4 linked regions of the Drosophila melanogaster genome follow. Changing the gene in region 3 together with the main gene of any one other region gives a genetic interaction. Each region holds a gene or a part of one and is shown on either strand. Other genes may lie near its edges. The genes, in order: wnd, raptor, Rheb and mTor.

What was found.
Region 1: of Rheb (region 3) and wnd, changing one suppresses a phenotype caused by changing the other (phenotypic suppression), as found in Drosophila melanogaster (one study listed by BioGRID).
Region 2: of Rheb (region 3) and raptor, changing one suppresses a phenotype caused by changing the other (phenotypic suppression), as found in Drosophila melanogaster (one study listed by BioGRID).
Region 4: of Rheb (region 3) and mTor, changing one suppresses a phenotype caused by changing the other (phenotypic suppression), as found in Drosophila melanogaster (2 studies listed by BioGRID).

Annotation. Positions count from the first base shown.
Region 1 is NT_037436.4:19,632,762-19,637,604, forward strand, and holds the start of wnd (wallenda), read right to left. Parts: upstream 3,023-4,843; 5' UTR 2,670-3,022; exon of another isoform or gene 2,661-2,669; intron 1,703-2,660; 5' UTR 1,620-1,702; coding exon 1,471-1,619; intron 336-1,470; exon of another isoform or gene 1-335.
Region 2 is NC_004354.4:6,087,166-6,092,149, forward strand, and holds the start of raptor (raptor), read right to left. Parts: upstream 3,037-4,984; 5' UTR 2,542-3,036; coding exon 1,107-2,541; intron 1,049-1,106; coding exon 1-1,048. Other genes in the region: Mipp2 (multiple inositol polyphosphate phosphatase 2), read right to left, coding at 3,244-3,677, 3,952-4,129.
Region 3 is NT_033777.3:5,567,204-5,571,047, forward strand, and holds Rheb (Ras homolog enriched in brain), read left to right. Parts: upstream 1-1,717; 5' UTR 1,718-1,836; exon of another isoform or gene 1,837-2,002; 5' UTR 2,003-2,019; coding exon 2,020-2,068; intron 2,069-2,196; coding exon 2,197-2,268; intron 2,269-2,371; coding exon 2,372-2,579; intron 2,580-2,638; coding exon 2,639-2,768; intron 2,769-2,824; coding exon 2,825-2,914; 3' UTR 2,915-3,288; downstream 3,289-3,844. Other genes in the region: CG12746 (uncharacterized protein), read left to right, coding at 1-157; CG2931 (uncharacterized protein), read right to left, coding at 410-1,318. UniProt on the Drosophila melanogaster protein: Binds GTP and exhibits intrinsic GTPase activity. Activates the protein kinase activity of TORC1, and thereby plays a role in the regulation of apoptosis. Stimulates the phosphorylation of S6K through activation of TORC1 signaling.
Region 4 is NT_033779.5:13,002,752-13,007,514, reverse strand, and holds the start of mTor (mechanistic target of rapamycin), read right to left. Parts: upstream 3,036-4,763; 5' UTR 2,730-3,035; coding exon 2,504-2,729; intron 2,449-2,503; coding exon 2,228-2,448; intron 2,085-2,227; coding exon 1,518-2,084; intron 1,166-1,517; coding exon 429-1,165; intron 370-428; coding exon 1-369. Other genes in the region: Vha68-1 (vacuolar H[+] ATPase 68kD subunit 1), read left to right, coding at 3,856-3,931, 4,195-4,763. UniProt on the Drosophila melanogaster protein: Promotes cell and tissue growth, maintains tissue homeostatis and controls responses to environmental stress and aging. Regulates growth during animal development by coupling growth factor signaling to nutrient availability. Central regulators of autophagy.

The sequences.
Region 1 (4,843 bases), on a different chromosome or scaffold from region 3:
GACGAACGCGACGCGTAACACTTTCGTTGGCGGTTTTTCAAGACTGTTGCTTATTGGTTGGGTTTGGGGGGGAAAAATGCAATAATTTCACGTATTTCGCACAACTGCGTCACACCAACACACAGACAACGGCTGCAAACTGATTTGGCGATAAGCTCGCTTTTGTTTTTGTTGTCGCACAAACACACGGACGCAAATTAAGGCAGGCTTGCGAATTTCAAGCGCAAAGAGCGACCACCAGAAGCGATTGATTTTCGCCAACTAAATCGCGACTCGCAGCGTGAGCATAACGGTCTAGCTCCACATTATCAGTATCAGTTCGGATGGAGCTCTCTCTCCCGCTCCGCTCTCATCTGCTGTTATCATCCGGCGTTGTTGTTGTCAGACTGACCGCATTCCCCAGCGCCTGTATCGACTGGCCAACCATCTCGAGGTCTCCCCAGGCCAGGCTGCCATCTGGTCACACTTAAAACCAGTTTTCATGGTGGGGAACACATGATCAAATCTCACACACATCCACACAAATACAGATACAGGTGGTCGTGCTGTGGATGTAAGTGTGCGAATAGGAAGTTTTTGGCTGCGCCCCCCTGCAAATTGTATCGCCCAATTTTTTTTACAGTGGATACTGCCTATGAAGACATTTCCGTGTGCTTGTTATCTCTACTCCTGAAAATCGAGTGCTCTCCTTAGTAATATTATAATCAATCACAATTACAAAAAATTATTAAATACTAGTATTTCGCTATTTAAATAATGAAACCCCTTTTATCTGCTTATCTGTTAACACTGTTGTTTTGCAGTGTTTTAGTAGATGTCTGTATGTCTGTCTTCTTTGTTGTCATTATTATGCTCTTTTAATATCTACTGTGATAACTTTTTATTATTTCACAACAAGCTTTTTTGGTTTGCACGTGCTTTCTAATGATTTCTATTTACTTAGTGAGACTAGGAACTAGGAAAATAAAGCTGACGCCTCCTATTTGGGAAATAGAATCCTGTATCTATCGGATAAAGTTGAATTTTTTATTGTTACTCAGTTCAAGATTTTTGTGGCTTTTTAAATTTTTAAACGATCGTTTAACCTGCTAAATACTTTCGAGTATTCAGTTGCTTGCGAATTACATAAAAACTTGTATACAGTGAAGGTCGATTACCCCGCTTAATTAAGCACGATTCGGCGGCATATTCTTGAAATATTAATTAAAATTTCAAGCCGATTTTGTTTCTTTTACTTAAACACGACGAGTTTTTAATGGCTGAAAGTATTTATTTTTTGGGGTTTTTATGCTCGAGGTTGCTTTTTAGTTTTTTTTTTAAGATTTAATCAATTATGTGATTACTCTTTAAATAAAGTTTCTAAATGTCCAACAACTTTTCTATAATCAACTCAAACAAAAATCGTTCTAAAACTTTTAGGTTTTTGTCTTAGCCATCACGACCATAATGTCTAATAATAATAATGCTCACCTCCTTCGCAGATTGTCGGTCTGATCGAGCGACAAGTTGGGGCTGCTGCCGTGGTGTCGCCTCCGTCCGTGTAGCTGTTGTTGTTGCCGGGAGGCGGCGGTGACCAGATCATCGCGACTTTTGCTCAGACTGTCGCTGAACGGTTGCATTGTCCAGGATTGGTGTGGTTTGGGTATGTGTATTGGTGGCTCTATGATCGATCCTTACGACATTCTGGTCAATAAAGCGGTTGCTATATGGAGATACCACGAACATTAGTATTTTTTGGCTGGGGATTTCCTTTTCAGACACACACACGCGCACATTCGTTCGCAACCTCTTATCAATGAATGACGAAAATCAATAAGAAGCAAACGACGTCAAACGGCAAAGGGCAAAAGGATATGCGAGCAGGAGCGGGAGCGAGACAGCAATAGCACCCACGCAAAAAAAGCTATTTAAACACACAAACACGGGAAGAAGAAGGGTCGATTATTGCACTTGCTGCCAATTCACTTTGCATTCCGCTTAAATGTGGTTTTCTTTCACTTTCAAACTGCAGGCTGAGCTATTTTTATGATGCCTTTAAAAGGCGAATTGCACAAAAGAATAGGCGCACACACAAGCTCACATACAGGTATTCTTTTTATTTGTACACAGAAAAAAAAAGTAGATATCAAAAAATGTATTTATATATTGTATCCCATTTTTGTAAGTTAGATGCTTTTCCAATTATTTTTGAGATATAGTACAGAATCTTTTTCTGTTAAAAAAAAAATATAATTCGCCAAATAATATTACTTTATGATTATTTTTTTTCTCATTTGAATAATATCTTTTGCTTTTCAAAAGATAAACATATATTAGAAGAAAAGGCACTTGATATCATTTTTTCCTGTGTACAACTCCACTTCTTGTTGTTCTTTTTTTTTTTAATTTAACTTGGCCAAAGCTAGAACATAACAAAAACAACAAACATAAATGTTCCCACACACACACCAGAGTACATTTCTCGCTATTGCTGTCTCGTTCACACCCACCCAGTAGGGCCCTCCCCTCTTGCTCGCACCAACGACGGAAGCCTTACAGCGCAGCTTTGTGCTGTTGCTGCTTCTTCTTCTTCCTCTGCTGCTGCCTTTTGCTCGCTCGTTCGCTCTTTTGGCCAAGAAAATCAATATAAAAATTCTTGTATTTGCACATTTTTCACACACTTTGCTCACTTTTCCAGCAATTTTCCACTGCGAATCGTAGTGATTGCATTGATTCGTACTTTATTCAGCCATTGGCGAAGAACTTTTATTTGATTTCAGCTTGAAATGGAACAATTAAAGACTGGTTTTCTGCTCTTCTTGGAGTTCCGCTGCGAAACGCGTTTATTCCGACCAACCGTCCGCACCAAAGGTAGATACAAATCGACTAAAAAGCAAAAACTGGCTGCTGGCTCTGCTTTGGCTTTGGCCGAAACCGAGTTCCAATCCGCTCTCTAGCGCTCTCTCTTGCGGATTTCCTCCACCAAAACCAGTTTGGAGCGCAGGTTGTGTTCACTGCGCAAGTGTGCGGGAGAACGCGACTGCGCGGGATGGCCAACCACAAACAGACATCAACTGCCAAGGCACTGGGTCGTTGTTGTTGCTGTCGCCTCTCCGATTATCCCCGTTTTTCTTTTGCTCACCACACTCTACTTGATAGTGCCAATGAAACTGGATCTGGCTTAAAAGTTTAATAAAGCTCTCGTCAGCGACGTGCACGATCGTGTTCAGTGCCTAAAAGCGCTCATGGCAGCTGCTTCTGAGCTTTTAGCAAAATAATGCTTAAAAAGATAATGAAGTCAAAAATAAATAAATTAAATAATTCAAATCAATGAAATTAGATGTACACATTTGTGTGTCGTTGAATATCTAAAACCTCGCTTTTACCACACTCTTTTTCATTTCTATTTTTATTTTCTCTTTCGAATATTAAGTACTAAATTTAAGAATACTATTAGCAACTTTTGGAAACTTTGATCTAAAATTTTGAAAGAACATCTGAAAGTAGAAAAATTTATTATTAGACAGTTTTTTATACTAAATGTGGGTATTAATTTTATTTAAAAGTCAGCTTCTTAATAAATGAAATAAATAACTAGATATGTATGTATGTATATCTATTTAAGGAAAGTCAAAAACTTAGTGATACTCTTAAAAAGAATGTATGTATGTATTTTGATTTTGTTTTATCAATATATGTTATAAAAGCATGAGCTAAGTTACTTAAAGTATGATCTTAATACTTTTTCGCTTTATACACAAACAAACATACATACATATAAAAATTAAACTTTAAATTGTTCTTAAATGCAATTCGCTTGCGTAAACAACCTATCAGCTTATCAGTCTGTACGTCATAAGCTGGGTATGTAGTTAAACTCGGCACGTCATCAAAGAATTGCTATACAAGAGCAGAGCTGTGAAAACGGTGTCTCCGGATTTGTGTCGAATCCCATACCCCTGCTCCTCCGCTTTCGCACAACAGGTAGAGCACGAAAATGAAAATAACATAGTGCAGCAGGTAGCATAATTTCTACATAAACAAAGATGACTCATACCCACAGAGGACTGATCTCTTTGGAGAACATGTTAGTGGGTGGGGGCTTTTCTACATCGTGGAAAATACTTAGCGAATTCAGCGATCAATTGTATATTTACATAGTTAGAATTTCCATAGCATATATTCAGCGATCAATTGTATATTTACATACTTAGAATTTCCATAGCATATAATATTCATAATAAATGTCTCTACTATGAATTGGAAAAGCATTATTCTATACACGAAATATTTCGAAATTAACAACTTATTATTATGTTACGTACATATGTATAAAAATATTACCTTTATCACCCATGATAACAGCATAACGCCATAAGTATATAAGATCTTTTTGTCGCGGTGTATCCTTACCAATCACACAATCCACTTTTCCCTTCTTAGAGCCACCTCCCCCCTTCCACGTTATCAACAAATACCTTTTCTTGTATGTTCTGACCAATAAATTGTTATGCTGCCTGCGTGCGGCTCAGGCGTTTTCTTTTGGTCCATTGCGCATGAGTCATAGGGTTTCACGCATTTGAGGGACACCGAGGGCCAGTATCTCCCAGGGTTCCAGTTCCATGTCCAGGGTGCAGGTTCCATGCCCGTCAATCAGTGCCACTTGCGAGGGGGAGGGGGTATATGATCTCAACACAAGAATTGCCTTTAACAAGTCTAAGTTAAGGGTAGTTGAGGATCATTGAGATAAGGATCTTGTTGGTATTGTTGTGAGAACAATAATAGTGTATCAATGGAAGATTGGAATATCTCTTTCTTTTGTGCTTCAAAATAATGAATCATTTTGTTTAATATCTATTTGTTA
Region 2 (4,984 bases), on a different chromosome or scaffold from region 3:
TCGAGCATGGTAATGGCAATGATGCGATCGATATTATTGGCCTGTTCCTCGCTACGATCCGTCACGGAGCTAATAAATGTGCCTAAGGCGAAGACGGCAGCGGCTCTCACTTCCGGTATCGAGTCCCGCAGCAGTACGTACAGCTTCTCGTGCGCCAGGTCGCGTGCTCCCGACCAACGCGCCTTCTCAAAGTTCTGCCACAGCATGCCCAGACAGATGGCTAGCCACTGGCGCAGCAGCCAACTTCCGTCGTTCAACTGCTCAAGGCAAATAGACAGTAGGGGACCTTGAAGCGCGCTCGTCTGTCCCAGCAGGAAGTTGTGCACTATGGAGGACAATACAAAGGCGGACAGTGTACGGTGCTCCTTGGAAACGGAGGTGTCCTGCAGCACGGAGAGGAAGTACTTGTATTCCTTGACCAGATCCACCTGGCAGCTGGGATCCACGGCCAGGATCTTGGCCCAAATGAACACCAAAACGGGTCGCAGTTCGCGCGTAGAACTCTGCAGCAGTTTAAGCACGTATGGAAAGATGCCCACGCCCAGGGCGAGATTAACGGCCCACGGACCAAGATCCAGAAAGCGAGCCAGCAGCTCCAAGGCCCTCAGACGGTGCACCTGCGACAGTAGGACCTGCAGCACAATGGGCAGCTGTTCCGGTGGCGTTCTCGACTCCGATTCGCTGTCCAGCCAAACCTGGAAGGCCGTGAGCTGGTGCTCGAAGAATGGCAGCTGGCGGTACGGCGCATTGTGATCGAGAATCTCCGGCAGCTGCTGTAGAGCCAAATCTACCACCAGATCCCAGGCCTTCCACATCGGATGGCGATAACAAGGCGGCAGGGCAGGCAGGGAAACTGGTGTGCAGTCGTGGCTTCGCAGAATGCGCTCGGCCAACAGGAAATTGCGGAACAAGCTGGCCACCAGCAGATCCTGGCGAAACAGGCGCTGAAAGAGCTCGCGAGGAAGTGTGTTCCATGCTATCGTGTCCGTAATGGCGGTGAAGATCCAGTTAAGCTCACCCATCATAGTGCGCCGGTCGTTGACCTTGCCTGCGATAGAATTTAATGGTTAACAGCATTCCCTGGGTGAGTAAAGGTATAACCTTACCTGGAATCTTGTCGATCAGTTCGCTCTGAATACGCGGTACCATGCCCAGCTTTTCTTGCATGGCGTACCACTTGAGCGCTATGTTAATGGGTGTTGTCAGACAGCTGGTGAAAAGATCCGCCGGCAGCTGTGCATTCATCGGAAGAATCTCGTTTGCAGCACAGGCAGCCAGGTGTATACAGTTCTTGTAACTGACCATCTGGTTGGTTAACTGCACCTGGTTGGCGGCTACGTTGGCGGCACCACCAGAGCCGCCCACTAACTGTTGGACACCACCCCTCTGCTGGGCGGCGGCCAGCGCCTTCCCTAGTTCTTCCTCGTGCTGTTTAGCGTATGGCTGAAACGAATTGATGATGATCCCGGCGTTGGAGCAGTCATACACGTAGATGGAGGGCGCTGACATCCAAGTGATAAGCTCGAATATGCTCAGGGGGATGTACTGCGTGAAGGTCTTGTTGAACACCCAGATCTCCCCGTTGGCTGTGGGCTTGGGCACTCCGTGTCCGTTGTAGTGGAAGAGTATGCGCTCCCCCTTGGCGTTCCGGCGTAGGGAGGTGCAGAGCTTCTTAACGTCATCCACGGTGGGATCGTTGCACTTCTTGTACCGGGCCCTTGGCTGCCAGCGTTCGTACTGCATCTGCAGGTTGCTTCCAATGAGTTCCATGGCCTTTGGCGGGGACACCGAGCTGGGATCTATCCAGCACTCTAGCCGTGAGCAGGGTTGGATCTTGACCACGTCCGGCGGATCCACGCCGATGTTGAGGCACAGAACCAGGGCCACACTTGCCGTCTTCATGCGCTCGCGGATGCGCCACGGCTGTCTCTCGTACATCATGGCCTGGATGCGCTCCTTGTGCCTTTTAGTCTGCAGGGAGAGCGGGCACCTGTCGTCGCGGATACGCTCGCCGAAGCATAAGCTCCGAGCGGGCGGCATGCCCAGGATCTGTATTTCCTTCAACCGCAGTTTGATAGAGTCGTCCCGGGGCCATTCCTTTCTGATAGTCCGGATTAGCTCCCTCAAAGAACCGAGGGAGGCCAGTTCCTGGCCGTTGGAGGCCTGAATGTCGGATATTTGCTCGATGTGCTTCACGATTGGTACCAGTGATTGGTCCTGCCTCATGTTGCTAATCACCTTACCCAGGTCGTTCAGAGAGTCGTCCTGAGATGGGTCCCGGCCGATGGCCACCTGGTTCCCCAAGGCGGCGGATCGACAGTGCTCGATGTGCTCCAGTTGCTCCATTATCAAGATTATCGGATCGTCCCACGGGGCGAATACATATTTCTCGTATCTCTTGCGGATTAGGACGCTCAGGACGGCCTCCTTGCTGGAGGCCACCTCTTGATCCGCGACGCTGCCGTTGCTGCTGCCGCTGCTTTCGTCGACTGCGACGCCGACTGCGGCAGCGGCGGACTTAGCGCGAACGGCACTTGTCATGTTCTGCGTGCTTTTTGTTTCTCTCGTTTCTCGCTGTATTGCTTTTTTTCTTTTTCCGTTTGCCGAGGAGAGGGTGCAGCTCAATGCGAGCGATTTCCCGGAGCGATTACGTCTCGGTCGCGGATTCAATCAGCTAAAAATCCCCCCGAGGGGACTCTAGCACATAACCCCAAACACTTTTCGCACTTTCCGCACCTCCACCACCGCCAGCGCCTCCTCAGCTCCGCTCCGCGCTTTTCTGCTTTTCTTTCCACGTTCCTCTTCTCCACGTTTTCCGCCTACGGATCGCGGACCATTTCCCGAAAACGGGTAAAAAGAACTCGGGGAAAACACGCCGCCTGGGCTGATTAGGTCGATGCCGGGACAAAATAAAAACCGTACAACTATAGCGAGCGATCTCCGACGGAAGATGGTGCGCATTAACAGGTTTATTTACTTTCGCTTGGGTTTATTTATTTATGTTTAATCGAATTATATTATACGAAAAGAATTGCGCAGAAAATAGAGCTGGAACAAAAATCGATGATTTTTTCGATTGCACGCTGGCAAGCGGTTTACAACATTGATATCGATAATAAACTAACAGCGAAATGGCCTAGCTGTAATGAATGGCGTTGCCAGATCATTACAAGCTCATTTGTAGCGCGTAATTCAAAAGTTTGTTTTGGTTACATTGACAGAAAAAACTAAAGGACTGCTCACCCGCAAAACAGGATCCTCGTGCAAAGGCGGCGGATATCGTACAGTATGGATGCGATGACGGCCGAACAAACCCGTAGCGAAGCTTTCCGCACTTTTCAGCGTTCTCTGGGTCGCAGTATACTTGAAGTAGTACCACTCCGGATTGTACAACTCCGGAAGTAGATCCGGAAATCGCCGCTGCATCCGTTCCGCCAGCTCAATCAGCTCATCCTCACCCTCGGCCACCAGTAATTTCTCATCTTCAGTGGCATTCAGATGCATCCAGTGCCATTGGCGCAGCTTTTCCAATTCAGCGGTGCAGATCGGCGGCTTCGTCTGATCCAGAATGCGTTTCTTTATCTCTGATAGTCGATTTTGCGCCTGAAGGATAACGGATTCGCTAGGATTTCTAGTTCCGTGTCGGATGATGGTCCAAATTCGCGTCGGATGGCAGCCTTGTCGGGTGAAACGGTTAAAAGAGAAAAATCAGCTGTTCCATTGCCATTTGCTAGCAGTAGGCATCGGTAATAATAAACTAGTAATAGTATAATAACAAATCTAAAGCGATTCTCTGTTTTATGATCAATAAAGAATCCATATGCTTTCATGATTATGAATTCACTGTATTAAGCGAGCGCTGTTAACTGTCACATGGCACAACACATGTTTGTATTTCTAAGCGGGTGCCTACTGTGGGTGCGTTACACAGAAAACAACAAAAATACAAACCGGCGTATTTCGGTGGCGTTTCGTCATAATTTGCGATCGCTCTGTAGGGCGTCTTTGTGGACAGTCTGCCCTCGATATCTGCGCGATTAAGGCGGCGGCACTCCCCCTCTTCAGACAACGTCACGCCCACGAAGAAGTGGAGGAGCAACAAAAACAAGCAGTAAAATTGGCTTAGCATCTTTCCGGGCGGTGGAAAAACTTGTCACGAGATTAGAAACGAGGTTTACCGAAAAACGGGGTTAAAACGTGAAAAACAGAACGAAATGCCAGCTCAAAAGAAATCTAGGAAATAATAAACACGAAAGAAAAACAAATTGACAAGTGTGCTAGTCGCGCAAGGTGGCAAGGCTATCAGCTCAGCTGGCAGCCCTAACACATGGGGCAGCCAAAAAAAACCCGTTTCCACCGCCAGTTGGCGGTATTTTTAAATAGCATCTTCGATGGCATCAGTTGTAAGTGCTTGGTTGATTACTCATTTCAGGAAGCTTTATTAACACTATTTTATAATAAATTTAGTTAGATTTGCAGGTGCCTAAATCAGCGCATTGCCACTCAACAAGTGTTCACTTCGCCCAATCGAGCTTTCTGCCTCAAAAAGCTCTGTTTTAACCGGCCCGGCAAACTAAGCGATTAAAAAATGGTTTAGTCGCACGCCAAACACGCAAAAGGAATAAGCGTTGGCAAGGGAAGCATTTTGAATATCCTGTCCAAGAATAAAACGAGAAACTTACACACAACTTAAAATTGCAATAAATAATTAACACCCCTGAATTCGTTTCGTGTGGTCACTCAGTTTTTGTTCCTAAGAGTTTCGGTTAAAATTTGTGCTTATCGAGGTTCTCCTCGTTGCTTTTTGGCTGCCATATGGCGCCCAAGGAGCCACAATCCGCAAATGTCAATAGTGAAAAAAGGAATAGCTGAAACGCACATGCCAAAAGTTTTGCGCCAAAACTAAAGTTCCAGGTAACCGGTAGCTGGGAGTAGTTGTCCATTTGGGAATTTATGTATGGGAGCAGGAGCCGGAACATTGGAA
Region 3 (3,844 bases):
CATACCACTGGTCAGGTGGCCCAGCAGAGAGGGAAGCCAGTACCAGCGACTGTCTGGAAAGGACGACAATGGCAGTCGTGGTCCCCACCATCTCGATGGTGGGGATGCGGTGCGGAGACCTCTGCTCGCTGACAAGGAGGAGTCCAAATGGTACTAAAAGCTTTACGTAATATTATTGTGAGTGTTGCTTTCCCGTTTAAGGTTTTTAAACATATTAGACAATTTCTGATTTAAAAATGTGCTGCTGGTTTACCTCGTAATAGGATGGGTAGGGTTTGTTAATAAAAACTAAGCGCGTCAATTGCTAAACGTAAATTTATTGCTCATCTTTAGCAGCAACATCCAAATCTAATTTGCTACATCAAAGTGACCGAAACTAGCCTAAAGGACACGATATGCACACTCAGATTCAAGTCATGGAATTGAAGGCCTGCAGAAGCACCTGTTTTTCGCGCTCCTTTTTCTTAACTACGTCAAGACTGCGTTGTCGCCACGTGCTCTTGCGCAGTTTGATAGGCCGGCTGCCCACATAGCGGCCGTCCATCTCCTTCATGGCCCGTATAAAGTCGGCCGGTTCTCTGAAGCTCACGAAGCCAAATCCCTTGCTCTTGCCCGTGCGCTTGTCCCGCACCACACGGGCCCGCTGAAACGAGGGGAACTTGTTGAAGGTCCGGGTCAGGACCTCGTCGTTGACGTCGTTTCCCAAGTCACCACAAAAGATGCGGAAGTCATCGTCGGGCCAGTCAGCCAGCGAAGTATCCTCCCACACGGTGCCGCCAGCGATACGCACCGTCTTGCGGTCTTTCTTTTTCCGCTCTGTTGTCTGGAAGGATTGCAGCGCCGATGATGCGCGCGCTGCCTTAATGGCCTCCTCTGCAATGGGATTGGGTCCAGACTTTTCCGCCTTGAGCTTCTTCAGCTTCTGCGTTACGTCAAAAGAGACGGCGTTGATGTCGATGGAGGGCGCGGCGGCCACGGTGGGCACGTGCACAGACTGCCGGCACTGATAAAGTTTGGGGGCGCTGCTCAGGACTACGGGAGTGGCAGACATAGCCTTGGAAGAACCACCTCCACTGCCCGTAGGCACGAAGGTGGACATAAACGTGGGTGGAGGCGGCATCGGGGGCGGGGGTACGGTCAGACGCGATCCTCCATTGCCCTGGTGATGCTGCAGCTTGTGCTGCGAGTTTTGGTACGTATTGGCGGCTATGATCGGGCGCACCTGGTTGGGCACGAAGAGATTGCGGGCGGGGGGCTTCGAGATCTCCGCCTCGAAGCGTGAGAGCTCATCCTCGATGTTGCGACGCTTTGTACCCATTTGAAGTGGGGTTTTCTCTTTTAAAAAATCAAATCAAAGCAAGTTTTTACGAAAGTGCTGCAGAAAACTCGGAGTACTAAACAAATATCGATTTCGTTCCCAATCGATTGCACTATTTTTATTTTAAAGGCCTGTTTAGACATGTCCACAGAATCAGGCTCTATTTGCAATATATAACAAATAAAACAGTTATTTTAATATCATAAAACGAAGACATTTAATATGTTTTAACTATTTAAGAAAATAACTGCGACTTTTTACACTTGATTACGACAAGCACCTTTCCGAACGGGCCTTGATATTTTCTGCAATTGTTGACCGTTAAACTAGTAGACGATAGTGTAGTGTGACGGTTCCTCATTAGCTGGCAAATGCCTTATGTTAGTAGGCTAGGAGTGGTATTTCGGCTTCGTCGACACCAGCACTGATTCAACTTCAGAATTACTGTTTTCTTTTAGACGATCTGATAAATAATACTGGAATTAAAATCGCCGGAAAAGCTCTAGCTGTGATAGAAAGTATCCTCAGCAAGCAAAATAAACGCAGAAGCAATATTCCTCATACACACATTTAAAGAAGGAGCACGGGCATACCCACACAAGCGCACAAAAAGTCGAGGGGCGACAGCAAAAACAAAAGTGTGGAAAATCACAAAACCAATAAATTTCTCCATTTATTTCAAAGCACTGGGCCCCAGGAAAATGCCAACCAAGGAGCGCCACATAGCCATGATGGGCTACCGATCAGTGGGTGAGTTTTCCCAGAAAGTTCCGCCAGAAGCACTGACACTGTTGCTGCTGGCACTGGTAATTGCGTAGTATTTCGACAACAGCAAGAACTATGATCAATTGACCATAATAATTACGCTTCGCCCGCAGGCAAATCGTCGCTATGCATACAGTTCGTGGAGGGCCAGTTCGTGGACTCCTATGACCCCACCATTGAGAACAGTAAGTGTCACATCCCATTCCGTGCGGATTTCTTAGAAGCCAGGCTGACTCCATGCTTCGATAGCAGTAGCAATGCGTAATGATCGGTAATTCCCATTCGCAGCCTTCACCAAGATCGAGCGTGTAAAGTCGCAAGACTACATCGTAAAGCTCATCGACACGGCGGGCCAGGACGAGTACAGCATATTCCCGGTGCAGTACAGCATGGATTACCACGGCTACGTCCTGGTGTACTCGATAACCAGCCAAAAGTCTTTTGAGGTGGTGAAGATCATATACGAAAAACTGCTCGACGTAATGGGCAAGAAATAGTAGGCTTCTTCCCCGTGGGTTCCGCTTGAGAGCTAAGCTAATCTTTTTTGCCTTTCAGTGTACCTGTGGTGTTGGTCGGCAACAAGATCGATCTCCACCAGGAACGAACCGTTTCCACGGAGGAAGGCAAGAAGCTGGCCGAGTCCTGGCGAGCTGCATTTCTCGAAACGTCCGCCAAACAGAACGAGGCAAGTACCAAGACGAATCACACTAGCTGAATGCAACTAAGGTACTTCCTTCGCAGTCCGTGGGAGATATATTCCATCAGCTACTGATCCTCATCGAAAACGAGAACGGCAATCCCCAGGAGAAGAGCGGTTGTCTTGTATCGTAGGGCGGCTGAGTAGCTAAAACTACGGCCGAACTGTTGGAAATACGGCAAATCGCTATGGCAATACGAAAATCGATTATCTCTTATCTACACAGTTGGGTCAGCGTGCATGGCGGGGCCGTACCCTTTGTGCGCAGCAGGAAAATCTAAAAATCTAATAGACCTAGTATTCTTAAGACCACACAGCAAGTAACCAATATCAAGCGATCTGAATGCGTCCGCTAAACGCTGCCCAGCAGGTTTTGTGGTTCGCGTCTGGCGCAACACAACAGGTTTAAGTTAGTACGTTTTTTTTACAACAACAATTCAGTTACAAATTTCATATACAAATTCTGCAAACTTTTAGTTTCAATTTAAATATAATTTTTCAAAATACTATTCAAGATTGTATTTTAATGGTCAACATTTTCGATTGTGAAAAATATAGAGGTTGATTTACTAAAGTTACAAGTGCGTCGAGAAGACCTGCCAGTTGCAATTCCAAAAAGCTGGATTTACTTTATCTCGTCCCTATAACTGATTAAATAGGACCAATACCTTAATGATTTCTATAGATTCCCAACCGTTGTGAATTCTCTGGAGACCAAGGTTCAGCAAGTAAAAGAACTGGGAGGATCTCGGTATGGTTCTTAATAAGAGTAATTTCAAACCAAATTACTATTTGGATAAACTGAAAGACTCACCTGGCCACTCTAGCAATATCTGCATCTGTTAGCAAAAAAAGGGGTCTTTAAATTTTAATACCGCTATTTCTTATGTCACAATTGGTCGGACGAATTTGATTGAATTAAGATTTGGCTGGCTTAATATTTCTAAAGACTGATTATAGAAAAAAGACATAGAAATTATTTCGCATTAAACCGATTATGAATAAAAATATTTCTTGTCTTACTTATCTTAAATCTAAAATGCCGGCTAACAGAGCGTTGCGCG
Region 4 (4,763 bases), on a different chromosome or scaffold from region 3:
AGCTTGGGCATCACATAAGCCGGGTTTATGGACGACAATCTTCCAATGGTAACCATTGCCAGCTCCCGGATCTCAAAGATTTCATCGTGCAGCGTAATAAATAGCGAATTTAGAGACTCTGGCTGAGCAAGCTTCCCATCAAAGGTCTCGTCCAGCGAACGTAGAATTCGTATTCGCACATTACAGTCCATATCAGTAATGGCTACCATAAGCAGGCGCTCAATCACGTGGGAAACGGTGTCGCTGAGGGTCTTGGAGTTCTCCATACTTTCAGAGGATTGCACTGCCAGTTTAAGGAGTCGTGTGCATGTTTGCACTGCCTCCAGACGAATCTCCTGCTGCTCGTGAACGATGAAGTAGTCAGCACATCTGAAAAAGAAATCAAACCTTGTAATATAACTAAAATATAGTAAATTAAATTAAATTACCGTTGCACAAAGTCCAGCATGTTTTGCTCCTCAAAGTTGAAGGTACCCAGCGTTTTGAGTGCCAGCACTGTGGTTGCTCCGTCACCATTCTGCATTAGCGAGCCATCGATGGCGATCGTTGGCAAAGCAGTGTATGGTAAAATTGCCGCCTTGTTCATCAGCACCTGGGATAGGATTCCGATCAATCCTTCTGTAATGGCCGACTTAAGCTGCGGCACATTCTCGGAGAGTTCCCTCAGGCAAACAGTCAGAGCTGGCGAGAGACCCGTGTAGAACATCTGCTCAAGGATATCCTTAACATCGTCGGCGATCTCCGACTTAACGGCATGAGCAAGAAGCGTTATGCAGGCAAAGACCGCAGGATCCACTGGTACCTTTCGTTTGCTGGTCAAATCCTTTGACGGCAAGGCGACCTTCACGCTAGTCATTATACTGGATAAATGAACTTCGATCGCACTCTGCACCGCTACAGCCATGTAACCAATGGTTATGTACGCCACCGTGCGATCCTTCTCCTTGCCTCGCAGGATCTGCATTAAATGCGACACGCATGTCTGCAGGTATTTTTCCACAAACACCGCGCGGTTAAAGGCAGCCAATCGAGGAAGTATTTGAAGGAGTGCCTGCTGTACATACGGAGACTTCGAAGTTCGCTGCTCCAAAACATTGTCGCAAATGGAGGTGTAGTGCTCCTGAAGGATCTCCTGAGCATATGCGGACTCCAGTACGTTGTGCTGCTGGATGTCGATATTATTAGTTACTTGCTTAAACATAACTAAATAGTTTGTATTTTAAATTAACAAACATTAAAATATCTTTTTTGTAATGAACAAATGGAAAATATACTATTTTAATACAAACATGCTTGTCTAAATGATTGCCGCCCCACAATTACTACTGGTAACGAATCACACTCTACTGCTACATTTTACACAATTTTTAAACTATAATTAGGTCAGCTGATTTCCTCCCGTCAGGCATCGCTTGGTTTTTAGATACATGTAAAGTACATACTACGTAAACCAAAAGGTAAATAAATGAAAATGACAAATACATTCGTGTGTGGAGGTATTTGATCGTTAGACTCACGCTCGCGAACTTGGCAACTCCTTTGTGATGCTCTCCCTCACCCAAATGCGTTTGGGTGCTGCCGAGCTTGTCAATGAAGGGCACCTTTAGCCGCGGCACTAGAGTATTCAGCTGGGAACCCATACTCGACGAACTGCTGGCCTCCAGGAACTTATTGTGTTGGGTCTTGGGGAACAGCGTCTTCAGAGACGTGTAGCGCCGCTCCCAGGTGGCATTGGCACAGCGAAAGAGCTCGTTGAAGACGACGAGGCCACCGTGAATGCGATCGTCTCGGGTCACGCCTTTCTGATCCTTGCTAGAGCCCAAGTCTGCATTGAAGCTTCCATTCGCCTCGTCATAGCAGATTCTGTACCACTGTGGTTCACTGGACTGCTTGGTGCTCTCTCGCTGAGCGGTGACAATCAAAGCCGCCCTCAAAGCCTCGCCAGCTGACTCTCGTATAGCAGGTTTGGGATCGAAGATGGCGTTAAAGATAACCTCGAAGAAGGTCAGGATGTGCTGGTAGAAGTATGTGGGCAAGGCGATAGCCAGCTCACGGAGGATAAAGACGGCTGAATGGCGGCGGTACTGAAAAAAATAATATATAAATGAATTTGGATAACTCTAGCCATGCTTACAACTACTATTTTCATTTTCATTATAAAGTTTTTCCATCTTCATCTCAAAATCAGACTTAAAAGCTTAATTTGTAGGTTTCCCTTATAATTCACCTCTTGTCTCTCGCCTCTGAGCACCTCAAAAGCCTTCTTAATATCAAAGTCGAAGGAATCGGCGCCCTTGGAGGTGGGCATGTTGGCCAATTTGACCAGGGAGCGGGCGGCAATCTCCATGACGGACACATCGTTGATTAGCAGAAGATCGCGCAGGCGGTTGAGATAGGGCGAAATGCCCTTCCTGGCAGTAAGACTGCCCTCGCAGTTAATCAGGCACTCTGAAAGGGAAGACGTTAAATCCTCTCAAGCACTGCCGGGGAGCCAGGAACTCACTCATGGCCAGGGCACCGCCTTTTTTCTCGTTGATATCTGTCGCATTCACCATCGTGAAAATGTGATGGTCGAACTCGTCGAAAAATTGGGCCAGCTCCTCCTGGGACATTTCGCGTAGCTCGGTCTTCACATAGAAGAGCAGATCCTGGGTTGCCTTGTTCTGTACATTCCGGTTGCGGGACTTAAGCCCGTTGACGAACTGCTGCACCACCGACGTCGTCGACATGGCTGGGCAGGGTTTATTCACTATTTAAACGCGATTTTCACTTGCATTTGGGAGGGGAAAGGGTGGAGCAGGTGCATCTGCCTGCTGTCTACGGACTTTGGAGGTTATCTTTTCAGTTGCCCCGGGGCGCTGTACGCACTGTTCCACTGGTCACTCGATAGGATTTCATGTGCCGGCACCGGTGCCGAACGATCTCACACGGATGCAGGTCCTTTGCTTTCTTTAATTGCGGATTACTTCGGTTTTTACGGAAATTTATTGCAGCCGCTGCCGATTAGTGATGTAAAACAGAATTCGATCAATTTACAATCGATATTTTCTTGCTGATACTTCTGTACTTGGCGGCGACTTATAAGCATTTAAAATGTTAGAGAACATATTAAATAAAAATAATAAAGTAATTAATAAATTTGTTCTTTATTATAAGCAATTAAAAAGAAATTGGCTTAAAGTTGTGGTACAAAACATTTATATTACTGGAGTGAACAAGTTGCATTGAAGAATTTGGAAAATAGCACAAAAATGCAAGCTTATGTTAAATTTTTAATAATTACCAACAAGTATTTCAAGATTTAACTGCGGAATGTGCTAGTGGAATCCGACTATTAATGTATCGTGACGTGCGTGAGTTTGATGTGAGCCCATCTCTATAGAGAACCTGGAGCCCTCGACGATAACCGATAGATCAATACTAGAGTGAAATCAAAAAAGCAAGAGAATTTTCATAAGAGCTGTTGAAACAAATGTGAGCTTATTTAATTTTAGAGCAGCTGAAAAAGCAGTTTTTACGCCACAAAACCACTGACCACAAGGTGTTGAATGAAAAGAAAGTGTGAAAATTGCTTTTGTGATGGGTAAAAGGTGGAAAATTCACCTTGCCGTTGGTGGCATGTGTGAAAATTGTATTGGAAAATCGATGCTGTGCTGCGGGGGTGTGAAGCTTTTCACTGGGGGCTGCTGCTGCACATCAGCGCCACCTATGCGTTTCCTCGCGGAAAACGCTCTCTCATTCGGGGGCATGGAAAATGCGTGTTTTTGTTTATAAGAAAAACGGTTACTTTTTCCCACAGCCAACGAACGATTTGACCGTTACCGAAGCAGAAGAAGAAGAGCAGCAACCGCGACCATGTCCAACTTGAGGAAATTCAAAGACGAGGAGCGCGAGTCGGAATATGGCCGTGTCTACGCGGTATCCGGACCAGGTAAGCGACGTCACCAGCGTCCTTCATGCGCTGACCCCCAAGTTCTGTAATCCTTAATCCTGCCTTTCTTCTGTTCTTAATTATACTCCTCCACATCTTCCTTTTTATCCTTCCTTATTATCCTTCTCCTTTTCATATTTCTGTATGCTTTCTTCCCCCTCCTCCTGTTCCGCATAATCTTCCTCATTATGCTGCTCTCTCCACTCCTTGCTAATCATATTTCTCCTGCTTTTCCTCCTTCAACAACTTTAAATCCACTTCAGTGGTCACCGCTGAGGCCATGTCTGGATCAGCTATGTACGAGTTGGTCCGCGTCGGCTACTACGAGCTGGTGGGCGAGATCATCCGTCTGGAGGGCGACATGGCCACCATCCAGGTGTACGAGGAGACCTCTGGCGTGACTGTCGGCGATCCGGTGCTGCGTACCGGCAAACCTCTTTCCGTGGAACTTGGACCCGGCATTATGGGCAGCATCTTCGACGGCATCCAACGTCCTTTGCGGGACATTGGTGTCATGACCAACTCCATCTATATACCCAAAGGTGTCAACACAACTGCTTTGTCGCGCTCGGAGATGTGGGAATTTAATCCGCTGAATGTGCGGGTGGGATCCCACATCACCGGAGGAGATCTGTATGGAGTGGTACACGAGAACACGCTGGTGAAGCAGCGCATGATTGTGGCACCCAGGGCTAAGGGAACCGTTCGATACATTGCCCCCGCGGGCAACTACAACCTGGAGGACATTGTCCTGGAGACGGAGTTCGACGGCGAGATAACCAAGCACACCATGTTGCAGGTCTGGCCAGTGCGGCAGCCACGTCCCGTCACA